Lytechinus pictus: one gene and its partners. The protein of the gene in region 1 binds, or shares a complex with, the protein of each later gene. Links are inferred from orthologs where the notes say so. Each region holds a gene or a part of one and is shown on either strand. Other genes may lie near its edges.

Evidence for each region.
Region 2: cleavage and polyadenylation specificity factor subunit 3-like (region 1) and cleavage and polyadenylation specificity factor subunit 2-like share a complex: the UniProt entries of both Drosophila melanogaster proteins name them as parts of the cleavage and polyadenylation specificity factor (CPSF) complex. The link is inferred for Lytechinus pictus from reciprocal best matches to the Drosophila melanogaster genes Cpsf73 and Cpsf100.
Region 3: cleavage and polyadenylation specificity factor subunit 3-like (region 1) and cleavage and polyadenylation specificity factor subunit 4-like share a complex: the UniProt entries of both Drosophila melanogaster proteins name them as parts of the cleavage and polyadenylation specificity factor (CPSF) complex. The link is inferred for Lytechinus pictus from reciprocal best matches to the Drosophila melanogaster genes Cpsf73 and Clp.

The regions. Positions count from the first base shown.
Region 1 is NC_087250.1:4,456,221-4,463,609, forward strand, and holds the start of cleavage and polyadenylation specificity factor subunit 3-like, read left to right. Parts: upstream 1-4,333; 5' UTR 4,334-4,419; coding exon 4,420-4,490; intron 4,491-7,389. UniProt on the Drosophila melanogaster protein: Component of the cleavage and polyadenylation specificity factor (CPSF) complex that plays a key role in pre-mRNA 3'-end formation, recognizing the AAUAAA signal sequence and interacting with poly(A) polymerase and other factors to bring about cleavage and poly(A) addition.
Region 2 is NC_087251.1:22,718,595-22,726,484, forward strand, and holds the start of cleavage and polyadenylation specificity factor subunit 2-like, read left to right. Parts: upstream 1-4,856; 5' UTR 4,857-4,897; intron 4,898-7,890. UniProt on the Drosophila melanogaster protein: Component of the cleavage and polyadenylation specificity factor (CPSF) complex that plays a key role in pre-mRNA 3'-end formation, recognizing the AAUAAA signal sequence and interacting with poly(A) polymerase and other factors to bring about cleavage and poly(A) addition.
Region 3 is NC_087254.1:5,833,488-5,841,459, forward strand, and holds the start of cleavage and polyadenylation specificity factor subunit 4-like, read right to left. Parts: upstream 3,078-7,972; 5' UTR 2,946-3,077; coding exon 2,843-2,945; intron 1-2,842. UniProt on the Drosophila melanogaster protein: Component of the cleavage and polyadenylation specificity factor (CPSF) complex that plays a key role in pre-mRNA 3'-end formation, recognizing the AAUAAA signal sequence and interacting with poly(A) polymerase and other factors to bring about cleavage and poly(A) addition.

The DNA of each region.
Region 1 (7,389 bases):
TAATGTATCTTTGATTTGTATTTGCTTATAATGTTGATAATGGAAATGAAAAATAAAACTTGAACTAGCAAGATACCCAATAACCCATCTTTCTTCTTCTATTTCTCCTCCTTCTTCTCCTTCATTTCTTTTTCTTTCTTTTTTCTTCTTCTTCTTCTGCTTCTTCTCATTTTGTCTTTCTATTCTTCTTGTTGCTAATATTAAATTCTGATTTTTTTTTCCTTTGCGCTTTCATTATGTAAATAGTATAATTTATCATTTTATTATCTTAATTCTATAGTCATGTCGAGGAACCCACTGGAAATGAGCTTTCGTGGGTTTTCCTGTGCAAGCATGTTGTTTTTAATGCTACTGTTTATATGTTGTAGTGATTTGCCAAATAAAATCAATCAATTCATGATTTAATATTAATACAGTGCGTATAAAAAAAAGGGACAGATTTGAAAATTCTATAAAATTTTTGTTTCAAATTATAATGTCTATATTTTGGTGCTCTAAGGTCTTATCTTTCAAATGCTTTTGAAAAAAATTTAGTTTCGTTCATGCTTGAGCGAACACGGAATGTTTTTGTCTGGGGTTAAAATGGAGGCTTGTGCCAAAACGGCATAGAATTATAAATATGATGATCGGACTTCTTGCTAATTAGCAGACTTCCTCTTAACCTATTCATTATCTTTGCCATAATTTTTCAAATCATGCGGTCAAAATTCATTTTCAGATCTATTTATTTGCTTGAATTGTTATGTTGTTGTTTCTTTTTAATATGCTCTCTGTTAGCTTTTAATATTCCTTCTTCAAGCTAAAACAATTTTGTTTTAACGAAGTATGGGAGAGCGTGGATTTTTTTTTCAAATCCTTTCATTGTGTGCTACAAAGGTTATGGTGCCTTTTGAACAGTGCCACAAAGATGGGCGGGGGCTTGGGATGCTCCCCAACCCCCTTAATTTAAAAAAAATCATGACCAAGAAAAAAAGTGGACAGGAAATAAAAGGAAAGATAGAAAGTAAAATATGATATTATTTTCTAAATATTATGTCAAAATCTATCACAAAATTTGATATTGTAATAAAAAAGTGGGAATATTTGCGTGCTCACTTCGCTCGCTCACAACTTTTAAATACATTTTAACCGATCTGCCACATCTAGCTCCTTCAAAATTGACTCGATACACCATTGTCATTGAAAGACATGAATCCCTTCCTGTGTTTCCTGTCAAGCAATTAAACTTGGTCAAGGAATCAATGACCCTTTGAAAAATAGATTCATGTCTTTTAAAGGTACATAACATAATTTGTTTCACAATAATAAAAGGATTTGAATAATCACAAGTTTTCCCAATTAATAATACAAATCTTTTTGCTTGGGTTGACAAAAAATCTTCTTTTCTCACTTACTTTTGAAGGAAAATTAAAAGGTAAGAGAAGTTTAAATGAAAAAAACAAATAATTCAAGTAAATAAATAAATTTGTAAATAAAATTTGACAGCATAATTCGAAAATTGTGGCACAGATAATGAAAAGATCAAGAGGAAGTCTCCTGATTAGCAAGAAGCCTGATCGTCATATTACTCGTATTCTGCAATTCTGGCGCAAGCCTCTTTTTGAACCCCCAACATAAACGTCCCGTGTTCGCTCAAGTATGAACAAAGTTAATTTTTTTTAATAGCATTTCAAAGATAAGACCTTAGAGCACCTATTTACACCAAAATATATATAGACATTATAATTTGAAACAAAATTTTAAAGACGTTTTTTTTTTACTCACTGTAGAGTGTCTCGTTTTAGGTCTAAAATCTAAATTTTCGCTCGCATCGATCGTTAAGTTACATACAATAATAATAAATAATATACAGTTCTTGCATCAATTGTTTAGTTACATACAACAATAATAATAATATACAGTTCTTGTATAGCGCATATCACATTATGAATAATGTTTTTTACGCGCTTCCAAAGGACTTATTACCCCAGCTGTAGCTTGGCAGCCGTAATTACTAAGATTACAGCGCAAACGCATTTCAAGGAATAAATTCCTGCCAGGTACCCATTCACCTCACCTGGGTTGAGTGCAGCACAATGTGGATGAATTACTTGCTGAAGGAAACTACGCCATGGCTGGGAATTGTACCCACGACCCTCTGTTTCAAAGTCCGGAGACTTATCCACTGGGCCACAACGCTTCATAACGCTCCACATATCTATACCTATTCCTTTCATGATTACAAAAAGTGCTTAGAATTTTTTTTTTTTTTCAGGTCGGAAAGTCAAAAATTGTCAACTCGCGCGCTTCGTGCTCGCATTATTTGTTGAAACATAAAAAGTTTGGTAGCAAAAGGGGTTAGGTCCACTTTAGACCATTCCGAGAAAAATCATGTTTTTTATTCTCACTTATTGCAATATTCTTGTGAGAAACTAAATTGTCATGATGTACTACCCTAGCATGTGAACGTAAAATTGGGTATAAAAGAAATCTACCTGTCTTAAATTTTTACTACATATTTTTTTTTTTTAATATCATTCTGGACCCATCCCCTTTTGCAAGCAAATTGAAATGAATCCAATCTCTTTTGAATAAAAAAAGTGTTTTTTTTTCTTTGCCACTTTTATTCACGTTTTAATGTGAATTTCAAATTTTCTTTGGTATCATCGGACAGACTAAAAATTTATAGGTTTTGAGACAGAAAACAATAAAATTTATGAAAAATGGACCTAACCCCTTTTGACAAATGAGCTCTTCAAAAGAGTTTGGTTGCAAAAGGGAATAGATCCACTTCAAGATTTTTTTTTTATTCTCCCATATTGCAATATTCTTATCCAAAACTATATTTTTATGATACCCTATACCATGTAAACATAAAATTGGGTATAAAAGAGTGTTCTCATATTTTTTTTGAATAGGCATATTCTTTTCCATGTCTTTATGGACCTAACCCTTGTGCAACCAAACTGAATTGGACCTAACCCCTTTTGATAAAGGAAAATCTTTTCTTTGGTTTCTTATAGAGCTACTAAAAATCTATACATTGAGTCGAAAAAAAAAATGATGAAAAATTGACCTATTCTTTTTGCAACTGAGCTCTTCATGGGTAACTGTAAACAGTTCTTAACAGGTCCCTTTTCGATCAGGCCAGAACGTTAATTAAACATTCATGCTCGCGCTCGGCGTTCACAGTAATTACCTAGTTGTTTAGGATAAAAAACATTGCCCCTTACATTTTCATGACAAAATGCATGAAAGTAAACAACAAATTAGGTCGCGCTTCGCGGTTGCTCTTTTATTTATGGCTAATGAGGTTATTTCACTTGTTTTATAAGAATAAAGCTAGGAATTAGTGACTATATGAGGACTATTCCTTCAAGGCTTCAAAAAACATGAACAAACAAAAATCTACTTTAAGCGGCCGATCGGGGGAAAATATGGGTAAAATAATTTTGGGCCTCGCCTCCTATGGGACGGATCCGCCCCTTTGACATAATATATACACAAAGAGAATAAAAAATTTGCCCCCAATCAAAAAGCAAGGACCATACCCAGGAAAAAAATCCTAGCTACGCCACTGTAGGGTGGTGAAATTATCTTGATAAAGCGGACCCGCATGAAAAGGGAACATTTGTAAAATTAAAATTCAAGCCTTTTTTTTCGTTTTCATTATACTTGCAGTACAGACTAAAAGAAATGGTGCTTGTACTAGACGTGGTTAAAAAACCCAACAACAACAACAACACCAAGAATAACACAAAAAAACATCTAACATGTGGGAAAATTTCGAGATACATAGGCCTATCGCAGTATAGGTTTGACGAAATAAAAGAAACGTTTCTCTTAATTAGTTTTCCCCATCATTCCTTATTACTATTTTGCATTATTAGTAATACTAGTAATGCAAAACTAATAATAAGGAAAGATGGGAAAACTAATTAGGGAACCCATAACGTACTTGTAAAATTAATTCCCCTGTAGTGGTAAAGTTTATTGAATGAAAGTCATTCGTGGCGAAAATCATATCAAATCAAGAAAAACAAAACAAACATAAAACAAGTAATTAATTAAACGAAATAAACTCGTCAAAAGGCTGTAAGAGTTTAAACACGCAAGCTCAATGAGGTTTGGGAGAATATTGTAAAACCAACACCTTTATTTTGATGAAAAGGATTGTAAATCCCTTCATGATTTAAGTTTATGAAGAGCATATTGGGACGATATAGAAGTGGGGAAGTGTTAATGGAATTGGGATTAGAATAATTTCCTGTGAGAGCCAAAAAAATACAACAACATTTTCGTCAACCTCTAGCTCACAATTCGTTGCTCTAGCTAGCTCCCTGCTCGCTGATTATAGAGGGCGACATTTTCTTAATGATCGCGCGTGTGGATTTGTTTGTGTCGTTGAAATTTTATGAAAATCGCTTATAATTTGAAGCAATGGCTGCCAAAAGAAAGCCAGATGCGCAGATCCCAGAGGAGGAAAGTGACCGTTTGATTGTTCGACCATTGTAAGTATTTTTATTTATAATTTTTTTTTCTCTTGGGCTCTATTTTTTGCCCGCTATTCCAATGTCCCACCTATTCACTTTGGCGTTAGCTAACATCACTAATAAGAGGATTTACAGAATGAAGTCCTACGAAATTTACCAAACGATGTGAAGTCAATTTCTCCTAATATGATGAATAACCCTCAAATACATAGCGTCATTTAAGCGTTGATTTTCTTCTCGTTGACAAAATACGGCCCAACCTTGCGAGTTCTCAAATTTTTTGTCTAATATTGTCTAATGACATGTCGAGCGAAAGAGGGCGCGCGATTTATCTTCATAATCATATCAAAGACACTAGGCCTACTACAAGGGAGAGACTAGACACAAAAACTATCTTACACGTAAATCGATGCAAAGCGTTACGCGAAGTCGGCAAAGTGTCCAATCTTTTTACTGTAAAGACTTTGGCACTGGCAGTAGAGGCGCACGGCCAATATTGCACTCCTAGTACCAATGAGGTCCAAACATTACATGTATGGACCTCATAGGCGACATCAGTGATAAAACCGGTTAGACATTGCCGTTTCTATTTGCACCCAAGAACTTTGGCAAATGTACGCCTTAATACATAGTGGATGGTAACAATTTAGGTATTAATTAGTTTTAAACATGATAAGGAAACTTCTACGACATTTGAAATTTAATGGATTGAGGTTAAACTTACATTTTCAGTCTTTTTTCTTGAATTCTTGGTGAGCGTTCCAAACGCTGTGGGGACTGATCAACTACGATGTGATTCACGTACTGGTCAGCTGATCGGTCAGGTGATCGGTTGGTTATCTTTTTGTCAGACGTTCATAATTTATATTACAATATATCAATCTTCAGTATCTTGATTTCAAGCATCAGTATTGCAGGGAAAAGTCATTATCGATTGGAATCAATGGCAGATCGGGGGGGGGTTGAGCATTTCTGGCCCGTTCCACCTTTTGAGATTCATAGTCAATATTTTGGCACTCATTCAATGAACAAGGTTATGATATAACCTTGTTCTCAGTTATATCTCCATGTGTGGCAAAATAAGGATGGCAATGTTTGGCTTATTTTCTCTTTTTCTTTGGGAAAAATGCTTGATTTTTTTACACTGACAGTTTCCATCACAATTATTCGTTATACGACTTGGCCCTTAAGTAAATTTGATTCTTTAAATTATTTTTTCTTAATTAAAAATAGAGATTAAAAAATGACAATTTTCTTGCCATATTATTTTCTATCAATAGAGGGCGTACACAAAAATATGCCCAAAATTCAAGTTTTTGAGCGCTCTAGTGAATACAAAAATTATTCCCAAGTTACTAATGAAAAATAAATTGCAACTGTATGGAAATTAGTAATTTTGGTCATAAAAGTGATATTTTAATCATTTTTTAAAGTGTGTGCTGTGTACAGCATTGGCATGCCATAGTCCTACCTGTAGATTCTCCACAGGCAGGATGGTTGCAGTGAACAAGTGTATTTTGGATGTAAAAAAAAAATGTCGTTCGTACAAAGTTAATTCCCCCCCCCCCCCCACCTCCTTATGAGAATCACAGCAATATTTGTAATGGGGATATTTTGTTCATATTCTTTGCTCTTTTTTGTCCTTTTCTTTTTTGCTTCCCAAATTTATTTTACTTTGAACATATGACTTTCTATATTTAATGACAAACTTTTTTAGGGGGGTGGGGGCTTGCCAAATATAACGCGCGACAAGATGACCTTCTTTTTTTAGTGACAACTTTTTTTTTATTTGTCAAATTTTACGAGAGACAAAATGACCTTCGATCATTATTAATTAAACCTTTTTTTTGGAGGGTAGGGGGCTCGCCAAATAGTGACACACTTTTTTTTGTAAAATGTTATGCAAGAAAAAATGATCTTCAATCATTATCAGCTACCTTTCATTTTTTTTAGGGGGGGGGGGGCTTGTCAAATTTTACGTGGGACAAATGACCTTCATTTTTTAGTGATTTTTTTTTTTATACTTGACAAATTTTAAGAGGAACAAAATGGCCTTCAATCATTTTTAGTTAAAACCTTTTTTTGGGAGGGGGGCTTGCCAAATATTTCACAAACAAAATGAACTTCAATTTTAGTGACCATCTTTTTATTACTTTTAAAATTTCACGCAGGACAAAATGACCTTCACTTTTTTTTAATGTTATGTTATATCGAGATTTTTTACCTGACTGCTAAAAAAGCACGAATGCCTGTGAGCAAGCAACCAGGGGACCAACGGCTTAAGGTCCTCTCCGAGGGACCTGGTAATGAGGATAAGCCTTAAGGACGTTCCACAGTTATATTTGTGCGCATTATGATCTGCGCATAGTTTACACTCTGCGCGCTGACGTCACAATGGATGAACAGGTGATTAATTAGCTGCGGGTATCAGCTGATTTTTCTCATCTTCTGCACTTTAACTGCAGATCCGATGCGTTATTTCATGAAGCTAAAAAATTGAATTATTCCATGGACCATTCAAAAAAATATTCTCTACAATTTCAAAATACTTTACTCTGCAGTGCTGCCAAGAATCACGAATATTACCCCGAGTTTGAATAAATGGTAGAGTGGTTTTGATTTTTTCTTCACATAGATACTAAGCATTCGGCCCATTTTTGGTGTTTTAAAAGGCACATTTGCTCTAATAAAAATGCTGATAGTTTAAAAACAAGCACATGAACCCCTATTTTTTAATGTTTGTACCTCTTAGGTATACCTTCCTCTACAACTCTGCAAATTTTGGTGAAAATGACATGGATTTTGAATAAAGTGCAGCATTTATTGTACGTTTGTAGTTTGTTACTGAAATTTTACATTTTTTAGATTGGGATTTTGTTATCTTTTACGCCATTTTTAAGAACTGACAGTGCTGTTA
Region 2 (7,890 bases), on another chromosome or scaffold:
TCCGGGGTTCGGAGTACTATAGTAGTCCACTATTCTGCAGGGGATTCAATTAATTGCGGGACACTAAAGGGGATATAACCAATGAAATGTCAAAGCTGTTTCGTCCGGGGTTCGGAGTACTATATAGTAGTCCACTATTCTGCAGGGGATTCAATTAATTGCGGGACACTAAAGGGGATATAACCAGCAAAATGCTACAAGCAGTGGTACTACTACTACTACTACTACTAGTACTGGCCGTAAAAGACTCATCACCGCCCCGAAACTTTCCGGGAGATACTGGTCAGCCGCTGGTCAGACTCGAGTCAAGGGGAAACAACTCTACTCCAGCATTCCCTCACTGCACCGCGGAGAACGATAATCGACACACAGTGGAATCGCATGAAAGATAACATTTTTTCCATATCTAGCTGTGGGTAGATTTACAAAAACATCTCGTCCTTTCAGTGCAGATTTAATTTTATCGACTTGCAAATCCTTAAATCGGTCAATATTCAGCATTTTAGAGGCATATTCAATGCTCTTTGATGTTTCGTCGTCCGCCAAGGTGTTGATTATGAATGCATTGTCGCTACATTGTACAGCGCGCGGATATCCGTTTATCCGGCCTCTTGGCCGTGTTGTTAATAAAGCACACACTCCCACTCAATACTCCGTCTGGTAAATTATCTTTTATTTTATTAATACTGGCGTGGTGGCAGCTTGTGGTCTGAACCTAAGGCCCTAAGGTGATCCTACCAACAGTCCGATAATTCTTACTCTAAACAAGGGGCCAGGCGCTCCGTTAGCCTAACGGTGATAGGTTTGAGTTCTTTTGCATTTTGAGTGTGTGTAGTCCCTTCAACGTATATTCATGTACAGTATGAATAGTTGCTCGACGATACATGTGGGCGTGTCCGCGGCTAAGGGCACCGCCTCGCGAGAGAGCGTGGCGGTTAACAGTAGAATGGAGCAGTGTTCCAATCCTTGTAACTCAGTTATATCCCCATATTTCCATGCTGTTGGCGGTTATGACTATAACTATGAAGAGAAAGAAGTAGAAGTAGAGATAAGGAGTGCGTGTGAGGTGAATTTAATCAGCGAATCAATGGCAGAGACATTGGGATTGGAGATAGTGATTGATGAGATGATGATTGAAGAAGATTACATTGAAATAATACCTAAATATGTAAACAAGAATGGTATCATTGGCCTGACTTATTTCTCACTCTTCTGTAATGGCCTAGAATTACAATTTGATGGTTTGGTTGTTGAGGATGATGCCATGACAAATACTGGAATTATTGCTGGTGCCCCATTTATGGAGGCAAATGACATCTCCGTTAGACCAGCTAGGCATCTGATCACATTCAGTGATGATTCTGTTTTCATCTATCATAGTAAACCAAGTGGTGTCATGAGTGACAAATCTTTAGTATGCAAGAATACTCGTGTAGATCTAGATCAGTCTACTCATGATGATGTTGATCCTATGCATGTGGTGTCTAGGCCAGACCCCATTGCTATAGTCCCAGGGAATTGTGAACAAGATCTTGGTGTCTACTCAGATGAGAGTCGGCTGAATCTGAGTGTTGTGTCTAAGGATGTCCAGTCCTCCGAGTCTGAATGTTCCGCCAATTGTGTAGAGTCAAGTGGGGTTAGTCAAAACCGACCGAACAGGAATCTCAGTGAAGTTGTTCACATTACTCCTCTAGTGAATGATGTTGTTGTGCATAGGCCTACTTCTGATATTGTGCCTGATACATCCGACAAGTTTCGTATGCCTGTCTCGAAGGCTCATTCTCATCTGTCAGGTTCTGGTTTGACCTACGAAGAAGTGCAGTTGCCTGAGCTCGATGATTTGCACTCGCCCGTTTCGGCCTGCTTGTTGCACAAGCCCGATTCTATCGTTTCGCTGCTCATGTCCGATTCTCACGTTTCGCTGCGCTTGCCCGATTCGTTAGATGATAAGTCATGCTTGCCTCATTCGATCGTTTCGCCGTGCTTGCATGATCCAGCAGCTGATCAGTCAAACTTAACCGATTCGGATCCACTCAACAAACAGCGCTCGTTCGTTTCGCTCGGTGACGATTTCGTGGTTGAGTTGGAGTCGAACATCTTGACATCTCCACACTCACCTGGTCATTCACACACGACACCCCACAAACATGACACATCACAATCCTCGTACAATGATCCTTATATCGGTACACGATACTTCCAGTCACATGACCAACCACACACTGATAGCCTAAGAAATCTTCCTCCGGCCATTGTTCGTACCATAGAGATGACTGATAACCACCCTTGTCGCTACCCACCAGATTCTGCAGAAGTCATCCCTATGAAAGTAACCGGCGATACAGTCCTTGACTCAGAGTTGCCAAATCATGTCACCTTTGATTCCACCCCAAAGAAGGTAGCCTGTTGCGCCGATGGACACGACTCTCCGTCACTAGCCCATGGTGCCCGTGACCGTGGTCCTTCAGTAGAGCAAAGAGCACTTGATCACCGTCCTCCATCTTTAGCCTGTGGTACCCATAATGACAATTCTTCATCAGTGACAGTAGCCCATGTTGCCCATGATCACAGCTCACCAGAGACAGTCACCCGTGGTGCCCATGGTCACAGTTCTTCAGTGACAGTAGCCCGTGATGCCTATGATCACGGTTCCTCAGAGACAGCCCTTGGTGCCCATGATCACGGTTCCTCAGAGACAGTAGGCCGTGGTGCCCATGATCACGGTTCCTCGGAGACAGTGGCCCGTGGTGTCCATGATCACGGTTCACCTACCTCGAGAGCCCATGGTTCCCTTGACACTGACCTTCAGATGACAGCCAGCCCTACTGACCATCCTCAACTGACGGCCTGCAGTTTCACTGACCCTCCAGGGCCCCAAGCTGATGACGGCATACTTATGTTACCGGCCCCTACTCCATTTGCCATTCCTCAGCTGAGTAGTCCCACACCCATCTCTCCTGACATCCCTGAATGTTTTAGTAAGGTGCCTCTGCCCCTGTCTCACAAAGACAGTAGCCCGCCCATAATTCCTAATCTTTCCCAACCCACAGGTTCCAGTCCACATACGGCATCCTATATCTTTCAGTCAGGTATCACCCCCGATATCCCAGCAGCGGTTGATGACTACCCGAGCCAGCCTTGCCTGTTTACCACAGCCCATGACCACCCTCCAGAATTTTCCCCTCTCGTACGAAAAGCCCTGGACTTTCATTCCCCTGCCCCATTGCTAGTCGTCCCTTTAGACCCCCCATCTACCCCATATCATATGATTTGTGCTTATTAGGACTGGACCTTACATGTTGTATGTGTTGACTTTTTGCATGTACATTTTTTAGGTTGTACTCCATTAAACTGCTGTTTATCCTGATGTTGTGTATTTTTTTTTTTTCGTCAATCTGGCTTAATTGTTTTTTATTATATTTAATGTACTTTCTCATTTTCCCCCCTTTTTTAACGTGTATTTAGACACTGTAATTAGAGTTAACTGTTGATTTATGTTTTGGATAATCGCTGAGTTTAGGATGTGACTTTTTCATTGATTGTTGATGTGTGAGTTAGTGTATTTGATATTTGCTCACTTGTTTATTACATTGGAGGTAGACAATGTGCTGAGTATTACTTGACTGGAGTGACTGACATGGTTGTTTCATGAATGAGGGTAAGGTGTAAGGATGTACCATGATGCAGGTTGTTATGTGTTCCTATGAAGTGAAGGTGGGATGAAGAGATAGAGTGAAGAGGTAGAGTGTAAGGTGCAAGAATGTACCATGATGCAGGTTGTTATGTTTCCTACCAATATGAAGTGAAGTTGGGATAAAGAGATAGAGTGAAGAGGTAGATTGTAAATGACAGCTGATGCTAAATGAGAGGTAGCAGAACTCATGTTTGATTTAATGTATTGTTTGTACTGTTTACACCAGCATACAGTTTAATTATGGAGTAGTGTTTTGATAGTTTATTGACAAGCAATCATTGGTACAAATATAATCCTCATGTTTTGGTTTGCTATTTTGCCTCACATTAATGTTTAGATTTGTTTATTGATGCATATCATATCATCATACCTGTCATGTATCTGTTATTGTTGTTTTATTATCAATCTGGTATAGGCATTTTGAATAAATTGTATCCTCCTTTGATGGTGGGATATTGTTTGTATTTGACTTTAACAGTGCATTTATGTATATATGTTATGTCAATTGATAGGCAGGATTTATTATGTATGCAGGCAATTTTATTATTTGAAAGTTTCTTGCTCTTTATGGATAAGAATTTGATTGGAGTTTAGTATGGCTTCATTTATCTTTTTAGAGTGTCATTGTATTTTATTGCTGTGTTTTATTATTTTAGCAGACTTGCCTCATTCACCATTTTTGAATGGATATTAAGGAGATTAAGATAAAATGTCAAATGATGTATATGTGTCTTTTAAAGCTGCTTAATAATGAGGATTTGTAATGTGTATTTTTGGATGATTGCTGAAGTTTAATGGGATCTTTTTATATGCAAGTTATATGCAAGTAGTAATGATTTGTATGTTGAAAGACATTTGACTGGTTTTTAGTTTGTAGATGATTTAAAGTGTTGAAAGGCAATTTAATATTTTATGCTGTAAAGAGGAAGTAAAACAAAATGAGATCTGCTTAACAATCTTAGATATGTTAGTTGGTGATACATAGAATTGTGTTATGTTAGATTTAGTAGAGTTGTTCTTGTTACTATTGGTTGGATAGTTTAGATAATGAGGGAGAAGAAAATATGAAGGAAAAATGAGTCACGCCAAGGTGTTGATTATGAATGCATTGTCGCTACATTGTACAGCGCGCGGATATCCGTTTATCCGGCCTCTTGGCCGTGTTGTTAATAAAGCACACACTCCCACTCAATACTCCGTCTGGTAAATTATCTTTTATTTTATTAATACTGGCGGTCACTCTTCGCCAAGAATCCACGGGTCGCCATTCAAGATGAGCTCATGAATATTCAATATGACGTCATAGCAGCCCGCGCTCTCATTGGATGATTTTCACCGACCAGTTTTTGGTCGGTATATTCATGTATTGGTAAAAACAATAAAATAAGAAAAGAAAGTCGGTGAAATTCGGGTCAGATGTCAAGAGGCCCTGTTTCGCGGCGCTCTGCTTCGCTCTCTCCCTTGCTTCGCAATGTTCGCTCGGAATGTTCACACTGTTCGCCGACAGGGCCTCGACAAGAGGCTACCAAAATTGTGGCTCATTGTAGCGGCCGGAACAGTGTAACGGACCCGGGGGGGGGGGGGGCACTTCCATCCACGAGTGGATACCATGCGCGACCATGAGATCTCAAAAAGCACCCTAATGAACACGTTTATTTTCTATATTCTGAAAATGCACCCCTTAACAAGTATTGACGTGTGAAACCCTACCCTTAACAAATATTGGAAACAAAACGATGCTATTGGCAAGTATTCCCTGAATTGAACCCCTAAACAAGTACAGCGATATTTCAATGTTATGTCACGGACGTCGGTCGTCGGTTTTACCTTTACCTACATCATTGCTATGGGTTTAGTACAGCCAAACTCGCGCAAATCGTACTCCTGGGGCAAAAAGTACATCCTTTATATGACATTTTAGTCTTGATTTTTTATACCCTCGCGAATTTGACCCTAAACGCGTAGTTTTCCTAGCAAAATAGATACCCTTTTTCACTATTTTAGTGTTTTTGACACCCTTATTACGTTACGTACGTAACGCGCCCTATCTTGAAACCCTGAAAAAGACATCCTTTTACGTGTTTTTTTGGTCGCGCCCGGGGGGGGGGGGGACACATCCATTGACGAGTGGATACCATGCGCGACCATGGGGTCTCGAAAAGCACCCTAAGCACGTATTTTCCATATTCTGAAAATGCACCCCTCAACAAGTATTGGCGTGTGAAACCCTACCCTTAACAAGTATTGGAAACAAAACGATACTATAGGGAAGTCTTCCCTGAATTGAACCCCTAAACAAGTACAACGATATTTCAATTGTTATGTCACGGACGTCGTTCGTCGGTTTTACCTTTACCTATCATTGGTTAAAGGGATGGTCCGGGCTGAAAGTATGTATAGCTCAGTAAATAGAGCAGAATTCACTGAGCAAAATGCCGAAAATTTCATCAAAATCGGATAACAAATAAAGTTATTGAATTTTAAAGTTTAGCAATATTTTGTGGAAACAGTCGTCATGAATATTCATGAGGTGGGCTGATGATGTCACATCTCCACTTGTTCTTTTGTATTTTGTTATATGAAATTAGGTTTATTCAATTTTTTTCCTCCAAGAACTAAAATAATTGGATTGAAAACTGATTTAGTGCATTAGATATTTATTGCTGCAACTTATTTCATTATAAGGGAGACATATTATTCACACAAGTATGAAATAATGAAAAAATTATGATTTTATGTAATAACATAAGAAAACGGAAAGTGGAGATGTGACATCATCAGCCCACCTAATGAATATTCATGACGACCGTTTTCACAAAATATTGCTAAACTTTAAACTTCAATAACTTCATCATTTGTTATCCGATTTTGATGAAATTTTCGGCATTTTGCTCAGTGAATTCTGCTCTATGTATTAAAATATGAATATTTTCAGCCCGGACCATCCCTTTAAGTACAGCCCCACCTCCCATGCACACCTCGCGAAAATCATACTCTAAACACGTAGTGTTGACTCTTGGGGAAAAAGGTACATCCTTTATTAAACATTTTAGTCTTAATTTTTTATACCCTCACAAATATACACGTAGCGATCCTAGCAAAAATAGGCCTTTTTTCATTATTTTAGTGTTTTTGACATCCTTATTACGTTACGTAAGTAACGTGCCCTATCTTGAAAAATACATCCTTTTTACGTGTTTTTTTGGTCGCGCATGGTATCCACTCGTCAATGTAAATGGGTCGCGCTTGGTATCCGTCAATGTAAGTGCCCCCCCCCCCCGGGGGGGGTAACGGAAAATGTGCGAAGCTTTGGAGCGGATTTCTTTTTTTTTTCTCGATAAGAAGAAAATGCTATGCTTTGGAGCGGCTTTCTTTGTTCTTTTTCTCAATAAGACAAAAATGCTATGCCTTGGAATGGAAATTGGAGTGTAAAAATGGAGGTTCCCTCCGCGGCACATACCCACTATGCATTATATACTGAGTTCCCCCCCCCCCCAGGGATTGGTCCAATTGCCATTCGTCCATATCCATATATTTGACTCAGTGTTAATTCATTGGGCAAAGTGAATGAAAATGAAACAGGTATAAGAACAACTGGTTATGAGACGAAATGTTCATAGACGAACTGGTGATTAGATGAATGATTGGATCGAAATGGCTATTGGACCAAAATGGTTATTATACGAAATGTTGATGGACGGAATGGCATTGAATATATAAAGTGAAACATGAACATAATACATGTTGATAAATTAAAATTGAATTGAATCATTCATTTCTATTTCATTTTATTGTCCACATGGAAATGAGTTTTGCTCACATTATAAACATTTTTAACAAAGTATTATAGGCCTATATACACTAGCGTACCTAGCGTACCTCCCCCAGGGCCTACGACCCGACCTGCATGCCTACACATACAAGCCACTGCTTTGGCCACCTCCTCCTCCTCATTGTAATGATACGAGATTATGTTGTGCTAACTGCATCATAGTAAACAGTGGCGTACCTTGGGTCACGGCATGGGGGGCACCAGCAAACATTTTTAGTCACTTAGTGAGCGCGCGAAGCGCGCTCAGTTGCCAGGTATACTGACCTAATACATGTTATAGAGACATTTTAAGGACAGTGGCGTTAAACGGATATCTCACTGATCAAATAATGCGAGTGCGAAGCGCGAGCTGAAAATTTAGGAA
Region 3 (7,972 bases), on another chromosome or scaffold:
TGAAAAATCAAATTGTATTTTATTTAAATCTACTCAGAAAATAAATCATAATTCATATTGATACTTTATTAATATTCAAAAATCATCTTTTTCTTCCATGGCAAGGTATCAATCTCACTTTAATTAAACAAGGGCAGACAATTTTACAGTGAGTTGAATTTGGATACGGACAAGATTAATACATGATTATAAATCATTATTATAATCATAATTATTCATAATCATGTATTAAATTCTAGTATTTGTTAAATAATAATTTTTATCTATAAATTGTTCTTCAAAACAGCATTTTGTAACATCGCTTATCGAAAGTACATCATAACGAAGCGGTTCAAGGGTCAGACCTATTGCATTTGCTTTGTTGACAAACAAATCGAGGGATCTACACGAGATCAGTCTGGTAAGAAACCTCGAATTTTTGCCATTCATAGTGAAATATTTTTTATCCCTTCATACGCATTTGGCGTTTGAAGGTTCAAAGATCAATAAAATTCACACTTTTATAAACCGATTTCTCCCTGTAAATATGGATTTCATAGGGAAATTCATCTGGGTGTGGAGGTCTCGCTCATGCATCTATGGAAAGAGTTTCAAGGCTCCATGATGAAGTATATGGCAAAATATTAAAAAATATCATCATGGAGTCCTCAAGGCTAGACTCAATGGCCATAATTAAGTTCGGATAAACCAGGGAAGTGGGAGTTGCATGACAGCCAAAGTAAGTCACTGTTTTTTTTTCTTTGAAAATTTAAGTTTATTTTTTCCCGTTTTGGTGCATTTGGTGCATTTGGTGCATTTGGTGAATAATAATGATATATAAGGCCAAGCAAAATAAGAAAGTAGTTGATCGTCCTCGCGCGCATCAATTTTGGCCGCCGCATGAAATTTTTTGCTATTTACTATTTTCTATTTTTAAAAAATTAAAAAAATTGTGTTGTTTCTCGTCCGCGCCCTCTCCCCTTTTTGATTGCAGCATCAATTTTCTTGATATTAACTATTTTTATGGCTGTTGAATAGTGAACAAAATTCACAAGATTACTCTGGGAACTCTCTCGCAACTTCAAAAACAATTGCAAAATCCGATATCGCCGTAATTGCAAGAAAGAAAAAAATTCTGATTTGGTTTTTTATTGGAATTTTGAAGATACCATCATAAATTAGCAAGGAAATAAAGATTGCAAACTCGGATAAGATCACGGATTTCTTCATTTTTAGTGCATTTTCGGGGACCCCGCTTACTGAATCTGACTTAATCCGTCGCGTGCTTTGGAAATATGGCACAGATAAATCAATTTTAATGACGTAATTTGTATTTCAGCGGGGTTTTTTTATGAGTGATAGCGCCTGTACTTAGATGTGTGTTACGGTGATTGTATAGTGTGCTTGTGACTCTGTTGGGTGAACTGCATGTGTGCTAGGATTGATTGACTGTGCTGGCGTGACATGTGAATTTGTGAAATGCATTGAATTTTCTGGCGAGTTTTCTAATGTTAGCAGGCAATGCATCGAATATTCAATGAGAGATTTAATATTCAATATCAATTTTAAAAATGAATGAAAATTGAACAGTATTAAACATTATGTAAACGAACAAGCAGCTGAAAACTGCGATGCGAAACCATGCCCAGTCCCAGACAAAAAGAGATTGGCTCTGGAAAACTGAACATGACTCCCGATGGTAATAAAAATGACCCCCCATGCAGTTACCCTTACATATATATTAATATAAAATGTTTAAATTATTCACTTGACATGAACATTCTGTTTTACAACAATACAGTACCAGTATACATCAGTAATACATCAATATATTTTATCGCACAATACATTTTCCATAGATTTCCAATCAATCGTTGATATCACCAGTACGACAATACACCAGACGGTGGACTGTACTGTTTCCAGAAGAAGAAGAAGAAGATATTTATACATATAAAATATATATATATATTTCTACTCATTTATTATTAATATTGAGCATACATGGATCACATAATTCGAGCTTGACATGGCCCGACAATCATTTAAATAAAAATAGCAAAAAAAATAGTAAATAGTAAGGACCTCCCTCATTACTGATGTCAAAAATCGGGCCGAGAAAATGCCTCCTTGTTTTTAAAAAAAATAGTAAGATAGCAAATAGCAAGGACCTCCCTCATCACCGCTCTCAAAAAACCCGGACGATCAACTACTATCTTTTTTTACTTGGCCTAATCTTTATTTTTGGTCACTGTCGGTCCAGTTCTTTTAATATATTTTTAAGAAATAAAGAAAAAAATCGATGAGGCCCATCAGGGGGATTTTATATTGTTAACCTCCTAATGGCAGCTGCACAATCGTGAGCCGTCTGCATTCTGTGTACGAGAAATAAAAAAATAATTAAAAATGTTATTTGTTATTTAAAAACTCCTCGAAACAGACGGCTACCAGCTTTAAGATACCAAAATTATCACCAAGTCCTTCATATAAAGAATCAACACTTTGTCGTCGTAGCTCGTAAAGATCTACTCGTAGAATAGTCTACAAAAAAAAAAGACATGGTATACCCTTGGCCTTGGGTGTCCGGACAGGTTGTGTATCCGGACAGCAGTCGATTTTAAACAGCCAATTGAAAAAGACAATAAAAGTTCACAATTCAAATCTCTTAAATGTTTTCGCACAAAATGTTAGACAATATTATCGAGAACAAATATTGATGATGATTAGCACTAATCAATGCACAGTTTTTGTTTAATCCAAAGACAAAAAAGAAGGCTTCATTTTTGTTACATGTCCGGACACCCAACCCCATCCTACATCGTTATACATGAGTGGGACCAAGATTTAAAAAAATCTAACTTACTATCCATGCCTGAAAAGGGAAGCGGTAACGTCCCTAGCTGCATGTTAATCTGCACCTCCACCTCAAAGTTTACATTTTCGACGTTAGCTACAATAGTCTGCATGATTGTAGATAAAATAAACAACTTCTAGTCCAAATCCGAGCTAATATCAAGGGAAATTCAGTCCAAATTTCATTGACTACCAACGCTCAAGAATAACCATCAAAGGCAAAGAAAGTCGTCTCAGATCATCTCGATGATATGAAGATCGAGTCGCCCCTGTCGAGTCGACATCGTCCGTCCATATCTGGAGCTATCAACACAGCTCCATGGTCCGTCCCAACTATAAATGGCCCAGATACAGGGTACGATCCCCCATCCTACCAAAAAAAGGAAGAAATATCAGACCAAAAAGAAAAAAAAACCTCATGTTGGTTCCTTATATAATTTATGAAGAGTTTGGTTGCAAAAGAGGTTCACCATTCCCAGAAAAAATGTTTTTTATTCTCACTTATTGGTATGAGAAACGAAATTGTCATGAAAACTACTACCCAATCATGTGAACATAAAATTGGGTATAAAAGAAATCTACCCGTCTTCAAATTTTTCTATATATATATTTGTTAAATATCATCGTAGAACTAACCCCTTTTGCAAAACTGAATTGAATCCAATCTCTATTGATTAAAAAGGTGATTTTTCTTTGCCACTTTTATTCACGTTTTCATTTGAATTTCAAATTTTCTTTGGTATCATCAGAGCGACTAAAAATTTAGAGGTTAAGAGACAGAAAACAATAAAGTTTATGAAAAATTGACCCAACCCCTTTTGACAAATGAGCTCTTCAGAAGAGTTTGGTTGCAGGTCCACTCCAACTTCTCCAAGAAAATCTTTTTTTTTTCTTCAAATATTGCAATATTCCTATGCGAAACTAAATTTTCATGATATCCTACCATGCAGAACATAACATTGCATGGGTATAAAAGAAATCTACATGTCTTCATATTTTTTTAAATATTCTTTTCCAAAAAAATTCTATGTGGACCTAACCCCTTTTGCAACGTACGAACTGAAATGGTACCCCTTTTGAAAAAAAAGGTGATTTTTCTTTGCCATTTTAGTTCACTTTTTAATGGGAATTTCAACTTTTCTTTAGTATCATCTTATAGAGCTCCTAAAATCTATACATTGAGACATACAAAATTAAATTTGATGAAAAATGGACCTAACCCCTTTTGCAAGCTGTGAGCTCTTATTATGTCTATTGGTTATGCCAAATCCAATGATAATAATTACGATAATGCAGTATCCCCGGCAGTATATCCAATAAAGTGCTCTAAAATGAAAACTACTAATTAAAATTCGAAAAAAAATTCTCGCTAAACGCTAAACGCCCCTTTGCAATATAATATACACATTTAGACGACAAAAGGCAGCTCGAATATAGAAAGCCAATGATCCGGGCCAGTGATTTCCCTGCACCGTGCTTAAAGGTCAAGTCCATCTCAGAAAAATGTTTAGTTGAATAAATAGAAAAAAATCAATCAAGCACAACACTGAAAATTTCATCAAAATCGTATGTAAATTAAGAAAGTTATGACATTTTAAAATTTCGCTTATTTTTCGCAAAACAATTATATGCACTACTCAGTGATATGCAAATGAGAGAGTCGATGATGTCCCCCACTCACTATTTCTTTTGTTTTTTATTGTTTGAATTATACATTATTTCATTTTTTACAGGTTTGACAATTAGGGCCAACTTGACTGAACCATATATTATTGAAAAATGCTAATTCCACATGTTCAAGGAGGAATAAGTCCACCTCAGAAAAATGTTTAGTTGAATAAATCAATCAAGCACATCAAAATCGGATGTAAATTAAGAAAGTTATGACATTTTAAAATTTCGCTTATTTTTCGCAAAACAATTATATGCACTACTCAGTGATATGCAAATGAGAGAGTCGATGATGTCCCCCACTCACTATTTCTTTTTTTTATTGTTTGAATTATACATTATTTCATTTTTTTACAGGTTTGACAATAAGGGCCAATTTGACTGAACCATATATTATTGAGCAATGCTAATTCCACATGTTCAAGGAGGAATTAATCGTCGTTTCACTTAACAACGAGAAGAAAATTAAAATATTTCATATTTCATATAATAAAATACAAAAGAAATAGTGAGTTGATGACGTCATCCGTCTCCTCATTTGAACACCGACCAAGATGTGAATATAACTATATTTTTTAATTAAGCGAAACTTTAAAATGTCATACCTTTCTTATTTTACATCCGATTTTAATGAAATTTTCAGTGTTATGCTTGTTGGATTTTTCTCTTTTAATTCAAATAAACTTTTTGTTGGGGGTGGACTTGTCCTTTAAAGCAATGCCATACGTCTTTGCCTTTGCCATTTTTTATGTCTACCATTTTTGCCTCATGTTATTTTCCCCCATTTACACCTCTGTCATATTACCTCTCTCATTTCTTAATTTCATCTCTGCCATTTTTCCTTTGTCATCTTTACCTCTGTCATTTTCACCTCTGCTATATCATACGTCTGCCATTTTTTTCCTCTGACATTTTTACCTCTGTCATCACCTTTCCCATTACCTCTGTAATTTTGATTAGATGGGGGACTTAGAATACACGCATATATGCATGACCCCCGCCCCCCCCCCCGGGATGGAATAGGGTCCATGATACATGCGACTCTCCATAGTTCCAGGACTAATCAAAGAAAGGGTAATCTGAGGAAAACGGGTGAAACGAGATATTCAAAGAGCCAAAATCTATCACAAAATTAAACTGTTGCTTTTAGATTCACAATTTCTACATGCTCCTATATATCTATTTTTGGCCAATTTCATTTCTTCTTTCTTTCTGTCTTTATTCCCTTTACCCTAGTACTTCTGCTTCCATATTCTTCTACTTTTTGCTCTCTATATATCGCTTATATTCTCCCCCGGACTCCTTATCGGCAGTATTTTGAATTTACCCCCTCCCCCTCGATCCCCTCGGTGGTTTTTTTTCAGTTGAGGGGGGGGGTTCCATGGTGGAGGGAATGCAGGACCGATTCTGCACGGTCTCTTTGTTCCCTATAGTATTCATTTTCTCTTAACAAGGAATAATTCTAATGGAATTATTTCTTTTATTTTCCTTCCCCCTCCAAAATCTCTAAGTTTTCTCAGGCTGCCGCTCAGGACCCGGGCATGAGGTTCCCTGGATCCATGCCGTCATCTATTCATCTTCCATTCATTTGGGACAAAAATATAGGAGAAATCCATCCCCACCGAGCACTTTCCCCTGTTTACAGTTCACCCTAGCTGACAAAAACAGCAGTTAAAAATGAAAATATTGGGAAGGTTGAGGAAAATCCATCAGAGATTTTAAAAAGTTATCAAAAAAAATTTTGTGTGTGTGTGACGGCGAGCAGCTGCTTGCCATGTCATGAATTTAACAATAACCAAGAAATTTACTTTTCTCAAATATCATGATTGAAAATGGATGTTTTTTTTTCATCTTCAGTACGAAAATCAACAGACAAGTCATTTCAAACCCGCTAGTGAAAACAATTATAGTAAGTCATCATGAACTATTTAAACATTGACATTCATGCATTTTATATTAGATAACGTATGGGGCAGCTGCTCGTATATGACTTTACAATTTCTCACAAATAAAAAAAAATTATAAATCCAATAACTTTTTTAATCTTTGAAGTTTTAAGGGTTTTTCTCAAACCTAATTCAGGCCTATATAATATTTTTTTCTTCTGCTATCAAACATTTTGTTAGGGTGAAATTCCCCTTTAACCCCCATTCACTCCGTTTACAATCTTTTGCTTCTTTCTTAATTGCATCCCTTTCATAGGCGGCGGAAGCGGGGGGGGGGGGGTCCTGCCCCCCCTAAATTTGAGGCCGGGGCCTATGAATCAGCACCATTCACGGTGCTGATTCATAGCAGTAATGGGGAGGACGTGGCATTGTAATGGGTGAAGGGGGAGTAACCTCGGTTATTCATCCATAATCCATAATTCACGAAAAAGGTGAAAAATAATTGTACTCATCTGTATAGGCTATAGAGTAAATTTTTTGTTGATAACTTTTTTTTTTTTTAATTTGCTTGTCAATTTTGTTTTCTGCGCCCCCTAAATTCAGGTGGACCCCCCTAAAATTTTGGTTGATAACCGGTTTTTTTTTTTTTTTGCTTGTCAATTTTTTTTACCTGTGTCCATCCCAAAATTTAAGTTGGACCCCCCAAATTTTTTTGGCTTCCGCCGCCAATGATCCCTTTTCTGCAATTCAATCACTTCAATAAAGTTATTTTTAGATTAATATATTACCGGTACCGGTACGCAATTTCGTTTTCGGGAAAAACTGCGAGTGCAACGATCGAGCTGAAAAAGGGGTGTGGTTCTACTCTCAAATAAAACTTACTGGGACTGGGTAAGAATTTAAAGATCTATTAAATGTAATATATATTCAAAATATGTTCTTGTTATGATGTCTGAGAAAATCTCATTACTTGAAGTCAAAAGGACGAATGTAAGCTGCAGATATAACGCAGTAACATTTCTTCTCTTTGACTTTACGCTGTCCCACCAAGTCATTTCCGTGTTAGGTGTATTTGGTGTTAATGATGTGTTGTTATTAACTAGATTAGTCTGCGCACCTAACGATTTGAGTTAAGATTTAACATGAATTTCTTTTTATTTCAAAAAATCTTTGAGTGAATAATGTTCCTTATATTATTATGATTAAGTGTACCAAATATCTCATGAAAATTTGAAAGAAATATAGGATTTTCTTGGGGGAAAAAACCTTGCCGGGCTAGGGCAGTCATTTTCAGATTGAAAAAAAAGAATGGTACCCCATGTCTGCACACTCATTCACTTTGCACACGATTCGGGTATTTTGATGAGAAAGGCTGGATTTTGAGGCCGTCACATGAAATGCCCAAAATTCATTATTTTTCCACCATTTTGGGTCAGATTTTTTAATGAATATCTGTCTGTGTATTACTATTGCATGTGCAAAAGTTTGTGTTCGTTGTGTATCTTTTACCAGAATTGCGCAGATATGCGTGTGCGCAAACTTGGGGAACTTGCCATACATGAGGAAGTTAAGGTACCGTTACA